2 linked regions of the Tribolium castaneum genome follow. The main gene of each other region encodes a partner of the protein of the gene in region 2 in a complex. Links are inferred from orthologs where the notes say so. Each region holds a gene or a part of one and is shown on either strand. Other genes may lie near its edges. The genes, in order: exu and me31B.

Region 1 (3,927 bases), on a different chromosome or scaffold from region 2:
GTACCTCGAGGTTTCCTATTGTTGTTGTTTTGATAATACCGTGGCTTGGGCTGCACAGCCTTTTTCTCCGGATCGAAAAAACAATCCAAAATGTCCAACAGCTCGCTCAGTTCAGTCTCTTTGGCGTTCGCTACCTGAAAAAAAAATCGTATTGCAAAAATTGCAACTCGAAAAAATGAAATTGAAAAATAAACTACTTTTTTAAGTTAACTGAGCCTTTTTGGGCTTAATTGGACAAAAACTTACTGAATTAGGACGAAAACTAAAATACGAACATTTTTTTGAATTTCGCGCGTGCATTCGTTGCCAATAGACGTTGCGACACCACTGCCAACAGTTTTAAAATGGGGTATGCGCGAGAGTGGTGGCGTCGTTTTTAAATTTGTACAAAACTGAAAATTCAAGACTTTTTGTTCGGTTACTACAGTCACAACATTGTCCAATTTAATTAGTTACAAACAATGTGTAAACCGAGTGAAATTTTTCAAGTGAAGTGTGGTCGAGGGGTGGTTTTAGTGACTGGAAAAGTTTCATTTTTTCTCATTTTACATTTGTTTTGGAGACCTTGCTTTCGACAGCAAGAGAAGAAAAAGATCCCGTTAAGGTAATTACACAGATTCTAATACTTTTTTTTATTTTTTCGTGTTTATAATAACCCCCAAGGGTCATTGACCTCTGATCGTCTGCGATTAAATTAGGTCATGTTGATCACAGGTAGCTTTGAATGCATAGTTTGATGAAAATTAGTGACGTCAACATGAAGGGGGGTTTGTTTTTACATTTTTAAGTAAATTTTCTCAAAAAATAACTGTGTTTAATAACAATTAACCAGAATTTTTCTATTCGCGCCAATTCTGAAATCATTCCTGCGACTACTAGAAAATTTAAATGTGACATGAAATTGACATTTTAAAAAAAATTCAGACGTTTTAGTACATTTCCATAGTAATTATTAAGGATAACCTCGAGGATAGGGCAAATTTGACACGTAAAAAATCAACAAAGCATAAAGTTAAATCTTTGAGTAATCAGAAGAGGCACTTAACTGCGAAAATAAAAAAATAAAAGTGGTGAAAGTCCTTCTTTTATGGAATTCTTAGTTTTTTAAGAATATTTTTTTTTACAAAGCGTGTTTTCGACAAAAAACAAATTATTTCAAAAACTAAGCAAACTCCACTAATAATAATGTAGCTTAAGAAAATCAGTGTTAAAATTTACAACCAAAAATGTAAAAAAATATAGTGTACCATTTAAAAAAATAATAATGGGTTTGGAATGGAATTCATTTCTGAAATACCCTGTATATTTGAAAATAATAATTTTAGATCAAAGGGGGTTAGTATGAATAATGAACTTTTTCAACTCGCTGGAACATTCTGTAGAATAACTTACCTCACTTTTTAGCACCTTATCCAATCCATCCTTTGCACCATCCTCATACGCCTGCTTCAATTTATCATAATTAATATTATTTTCGGCCAAAAGTCGTCTCAAATGCGTTGCATGCTGTCTTTCGGGGCGACTCGCTCTCAATAAGGCACCAAAAACAGGGCGGAAAGTGTTTTGCCTTTCTAGCAACACCTGAAATCAAAAATTTTTTTGCGATAAGTCACGATAAACTTATCATTATCACTGATCGAAAAACTGACCTTAAACTGTGCAATTTCATCCTCTTCTGCTGAAATAGGATTAACAAACGGGCAAACAAAATTAATAATTTCGGGTTCGGTTCCTGTGGGTTTCTTCTCGTCCAAATCCTGGCGTTCGCCTTGCGCTAAATGCGCCGCAATTTCATACGAAACCCTCGCTCGGTCAACAGCACTGGAAAAATCTTCATCTTCGCGGTTGAGGAGCACCTTAGCCATGACTCTCAGACTGAACGATTTGGTGGTTTTGGCGCATTTTGCTTGAGCAATGTTAAAACCGTTCGCAAAGCCTTTGACAATTTTAGCGAAACGCTCCAGGAGGTTGTACCTGCGTAGGACCTCCAGGAGCATGCCTGGTGATGCTTTGCGTATCTCGTGGTAGATGAGGATGATGCCGTCGTGGGCGTCATCCCCTTGCACCTTCTCCAGCCATTCGAGGAAGTCGGTAAGCGCCGCCACGTCGCTCTTGGTCTTGACGAATTTATTCGATCGCATGTCTTTGAGCATGCGATAGCGACCCGTGTTGACTACACGGATGCTGTGTTTGCGACGGTACGAAGGGTTTAAATCTGAGAAGGGCATGATGTATTGGGAAAATTGACTTGAAGGGCTGTAGGCGGCGATTTGGCAGATTTCGTCGATGAGGCGGCGTCCGGTGGTGTCCACCCCCCAACCCACGAGGCGGTACTTCCCCAAAGGAATGCCCTTGGCCGGGTTGGGGGCGGCTACTGGGGGCGAGCCCTCGTCGCCTGAATTCGAACTGTCGTTCTGGACCATGCTGGTTCTGGAAACACGTGGCGACATTTTTACGACACGCCCAAGCTTATAATTACACTTACCACAAGTTTGTTCTTGGGTAAAGGGTTGAGGTGTTGGGAAAGTTTGAGACTAGAAAATATAGGTGTGAGAACACTAGTAACATTAGCTGTGATTTTGTGGAAAATGCATTTTGCACGTGTGTAGGGTAATGAGGTGGGGGCGAGAGACGGAAGTACGTCATGTACTGCGCGGAATTTGAAATTGAGGACTTACCGTTTTTAGAATTAGAAAATGATTGATTCGCATTCGATTGACAGCACGATTAAAAAACAAGTGAATTTTTGTGTAAACAAAAACATATGTTGCTGGGATTAGATCAGCTGTTTGAAACAGCCGCTAACTTGATCCATGTAGGAGGTTAAACAGTGGCCAACAAAATGTTGAAAGTTTGTGACAAAAATTGTTTTGGGGTTTTTAGAAAATGCCATTTTTTTGAAAAAGGGAAAAAGCAAATTTCCACCACGTTCCAGAGACTTTAAACTAAGTGAAAAAACATGAATAATATTTATGTTTATCCGACTTTACAGAAATTTTTACACAAGTGTTCAACACGAGTGAACTTGAGCTACAACTCTTCACCAACCGATGTCGCCCCATATCAGAAATTAAAAATTTAATTTGTAATCTTTTACTCTCTTTATCCTATGTTTCTAGCACGCTTTAAAATTATAATTTTTCTCTTTGAAATTATAATTATAATTAAATACAAAAATTTATACTGTTGGCTAATTATTTAAGACGAGTCTAATGAAAGATGGACAAATTTTGCCATACTATACAAATAGTTATTTATAGGAAGCTTTCAATTAAGTTTCTGATCAAAGTGGCCTATGTCTTTGGCATTATGTTGGCAACACCGAATTATTGACTACAAGTCTGACATTTATTAAATTTCGTAGTTAAAATGGCCAACTTAATTTCAAAGCAAGTACCTAGAAGAGTTTGAAAACAAAAAGGCACCAGATTTTTACGTAGAAGTTTCTGGATATTGACTCGTTTTTGCATTTTTTGGGGGGGTTTTGAAGTAATTAATGAATTTTTTGTGGAGTTTAAAAAAAACAGTGACTTAAGGAGCGATTATTGGTCGTAAAGGTGTTTGTGTAAAAAGTATCGTCGTATGACTGTCCTTATTACAATGAACACCTGTGTAAAGAAAACGTCGCTGATAGGCAACAGCACCGGAATAGACGAGCATCTGGTTCCGGTGTTGTTCACGTCATATCGTATAATATCGTACTGTATAGCAAACAAGACACATGGAGATTTTCATTTTTTTTTCAACACCAAATTGTTTTTTTTAGACACAATTAATTAAAACACAAGTTCGATTTAAATTTAAAGTTATGGTTGTTGCAAGTGCAATCTACATACATAATCCGAATATACCCTATATTATGGACAATATTGCTAATAATTACGTATTTAAAATGGAATGAATTGCACTTACCTACAGATTTTTTGT
Region 2 (3,927 bases):
TAGAATCTTGCACTGGTCCATTACGGCGACACCCTTTTCCATCAGATCGAGGATGCGGCCAGGCGTTGCTATAATAACTTGTACTTTCTGGTAGATGCGCATTATGTCATCTCTTAAATTTGTTCCACCGGTCGTTACCATCACGCGCACGTCCAAGTGCTTAGCGAGCTCAATGCAAATTTGTGACGTTTGAAGCGCGAGCTCTCGTGTAGGCACTATGATCAGTGCTTGAATGCAGTCTTTCTTGGGATCGATCTGTTCCAACACGGGAATACTGTACGCACCGGTTTTACCTGAAGACCAAAGCATTCAATAATTGACAGCCAATTTTTAGATTATGTCTGTAAAAGTTTGGCCCTCTTCTTTGTCTTTTTTTATTATAAAAATATTGATTTGTAACTAATTTCCAGTTTTTGGTATATCTGATATGATATATGTATAATGATAAATGCAATAAACAGTATTACATCCAAAAAAGATAAGCAAACAAACACAAGTGAGCTAGAGAGGTAATGTATTTCGAGTACATAACGAATACAAGTAAACAAGGTCACCCAATTTACAATAGGCAGTGAACAAATAACGATGATTTTAACATTTCTGGTGTTTGTCTGTGTCTCGGTTCGAACTACCGCTTATGTAGTGAAAGAAAATATAAAAAAAAACACAAATTAATTTTTTACATCGCGTGTTTTTTAGAATAGGACAGTTTAATAATAACACGTATTTTTTGACATCACAAGTAAATTAGTAAATTAAGAAAGTACAATCAGAATTACAAAAAAGAGAACGTTTTATTATTGACTTGATTGTTAAAAAAATTTTGTACAAAAAAGCTCAATTCTGCGAACTAAATTACCAAATAAAGTAGCTTGACTGATTTATAGCGCCCACTTATTCGAGCTGGTATTTCATAAGCGCAAATTACTGTATGTGATTTTTTGCGTCATATTCAAAAATAAATATGACTATTAGCAAAAATCAAGCCATTAGTTTTGCATATTTGTCCCCCCATCCAATTATTGAGTAACAGAACAGGCTTACTAAATATGCACTAAACATTGAGTAAAAAACATACCTGTGCCATTTTTTGCCCTTGCAAGAATATCCTTGCCAGATAACGCAATTGGAATAGAAGCTTCTTGGATAGGAGACGGTTTCTCCCACCCTTTTTCAAAAATACCCATTAATAATTCTCTCTTCAAGCAGAATTCTTCAAATTCATTTCCCCTGGTATCAGTCACATCCTAGTAACAAATACTTGATAAAATAACGGTAACACCTTTTTTGCACGAATGGTGAAAGAAATGCATGAAATCAGGCAAGACGTTATCATTTATAAGAAAAATGAAGGGGAATCCATAGTGTCATCATGTTAATAATGGAAAGCTTTGAATATTATTCCCGGTTTAGACATGCAAGTGACCCAAAGCCTTCCAAGTGACCGTGAACGTACAAAGCAGTGAGTTTTAACTTACACTGGTCTGTATTCTCCTATCCTTGGGTGGAATCTTCAGTTTGGCTTTCCATCCCATGTCATCCATTTTGGTGTCAATATCACTGCAAGGAAGCGGTTCGTCACCGCACATTCTTAATGATAAGCAAACAACTTACACTTTGCCTGACAAAGCCATCACATGGTTCGAATTCAATGTGTCCGTCATCATAATTGTAGAAAATACTATTGCAAGTGTATTAAAAAATAGGGTTTATAAAACCCAAATCTTCTTCCTCTACAATGTGTAGGATAAGTACAGTTCCTAAGATCCCTCACAGGAACGATAATAATCTGCAAAATCCCAGTTTAAACATCAATGACGCAGAAAATTTAAGGTCAATACGGAATAGATATAACCACAAAAATAGAACATCCCGTAATTGTTGCAGTGTCAATAATAGCCAGGTCATGAACATTCACTGGCGATACGGAAATAAAACCCTCAAAAACGGCCAAAAGTTCGACGATTGCAACAAATAAACAGGATTCAGATTTCTAATTAAAATGGCTACTGATTCTTGTGTACAGTGCACCGTCGACTACACATAAATTATTGCACAACGACGCAAATTTACCTGATTCTGGACAAAGAATTTAAGGAATACCGTCGAGACACCCTGGGAAATACTCAGACATTGCTCATAATGTGTGATTTTTGCATCAAATCGCTCTTTTCGAATAACTTTTACCACTGATATGGACGCTTTACTCACCAAAAGGAAAATGACTTTCAGCAATTAACAATGGCCGCGAATCTGCAATGCCAGGATGCTCCGCTAACCAAAGGACAACCCGTGAGATGGCGCGAGAAACAATCGGAAAAAATCAAAGAATTTTTGAAATTTTTGGCCAAAAAATACAATTTTTTTATGGCAGTGATAACAAAGCGCCCCTGATAGGGTCCGTCTCCTTCAACCATAATAAAATTAAGTAACCACTCATGTAAAAAGCTCACAAAAAAGCGTTCAAATTGCGCGCACCACCTTGTTCTCTTCTCACCACCCACAGCACCACCTTGTTCTCTGGCACCACCCACAGAATAACAGGTTTTACAGAAACGCATCTGTCCTTGTCCCGATAGAGCGAAAGTGTCACTAGCACATCTATTGTTGCCAGCGCGTACTAAGCGTTATCGGCGGGCGATTTGAATTGCCCGTAGTTACTTTTCTTTTAAAGTTTGATTGCATTTTTCGTATTGTTTGTAAATATTCACAACAATAGTTGCTAATAACACTTTCTGATGTTAGACAACTATTGTTGCTGAATATTTACAAAGAATACGAAAAATAAAATATGAGAATAAATAAAGACAATAAACTTGTAATAAAAATTTATTATCACTAGTCAATATACACGATACGATAACTATAAACTAATGATTGATCCATCAAATTATTTATATTCCCACAATAAAAAAGTTCAAAAAAGCACACACACGAAAAAAACCACAAAACAGTACTAATTTCACATAAAACAAAGCCGAAGGCGAACACCAAACAAACCAAGCACAAAATGGCGATTTACACAATGGCAACTGTCACAGGTCCACTGTTAATTTCTGCCGATATTATAGGTAGCTTCGCTAAAATTGACTATACGTGTGTGCGACATCTGCGATAGCAAGCCGAACTACAGTCGATTTTGAATTTGGCGCCTATACTTGGCTTGGTGCATTTAGGTTTCACCACCCTGGCACCACCTTTTTCATCCATGATTTGACAGCTATTTAACCTACAATTTGTCGGTCATTTTAATAACAAATAAACAGAATTTTAGCAAAAAATTGAGATTTCGGTAATAACTGTATTGCCGCATTTTTGGAGAGTTACATTTTGCAATAATTTTCAGTATACGTCATGACTGCAAGCAAGGAGGTTTTTGTCGATTTAGAGGAAAAATTCAATAAGGTCCTTAAGTTACTCGAGGACAGTAAATACGACCCTGAAAATCAGCCTTTCGTGTCGAAATATGCGGCCAGCGAGACCCTAGTCAGCATGAAAGCGAGTCTAGAAAATGTGATAGAAACTCAGCCAGACAATGACAAGATAAAACTAACAGGTGGTGCCACATTGTTGTAAATTTGCCTGAAGGTGATAATTTTAGCAATGTTGGGAAGTGTGTACCTGTATCTTGGTATGACTTCAATTGCCACTGAGGAATTATCGACTGGGGAGGGCTATTTGGCAAAGTGTGAAGACCTGATAAAGGATTGCACAGAGGAGCCCCAAGTGGTTATGGTAACATTGAATATGTACAACCAGTTTGGGATTTTGTGGTCGCAAAGAGAGCCAGAAAAGTCTAAAACTTACCTCGAAAAGGCTGAACGGTTGTACGCGACTTACAAGAAATCGAACGTACCACCAGTTGACATAAAAGACTTGTTTAACCCAAACTTCGAACTAAACGACATTGAAACGGCTTGGATTAAC

What was found.
Region 1: me31B (region 2) and exu share a complex: the UniProt entries of both Drosophila melanogaster proteins name them as parts of the osk RNP complex. The link is inferred for Tribolium castaneum from reciprocal best matches to the Drosophila melanogaster genes me31B and exu.

The regions. Positions count from the first base shown.
Region 1 is NC_087396.1:24,605,932-24,609,858, reverse strand, and holds the start of exu (maternal protein exuperantia-1), read right to left. Parts: upstream 2,824-3,927; 5' UTR 2,679-2,823; intron 2,535-2,678; exon of another isoform or gene 2,486-2,534; intron 2,431-2,485; 5' UTR 2,424-2,430; coding exon 1,650-2,423; intron 1,582-1,649; coding exon 1,393-1,581; intron 135-1,392; coding exon 1-134. UniProt on the Drosophila melanogaster protein: Ensures the proper localization of the mRNA of the bicoid gene to the anterior regions of the oocyte thus playing a fundamental role in the establishment of the polarity of the oocyte. May bind the bcd mRNA.
Region 2 is NC_087402.1:3,103,221-3,107,147, reverse strand, and holds the start of me31B (ATP-dependent RNA helicase me31b), read right to left. Parts: upstream 2,347-3,927; 5' UTR 2,212-2,346; exon of another isoform or gene 2,074-2,211; intron 1,790-2,073; 5' UTR 1,668-1,789; coding exon 1,615-1,667; intron 1,561-1,614; coding exon 1,479-1,560; intron 1,248-1,478; coding exon 1,079-1,247; intron 294-1,078; coding exon 1-293. Other genes in the region: KIF-binding protein, read left to right, coding at 3,355-3,556, 3,602-3,927. UniProt on the Drosophila melanogaster protein: ATP-dependent RNA helicase which is a core component of a variety of ribonucleoprotein complexes (RNPs) that play critical roles in translational repression and mRNA decapping during embryogenesis, oogenesis, neurogenesis and neurotransmission.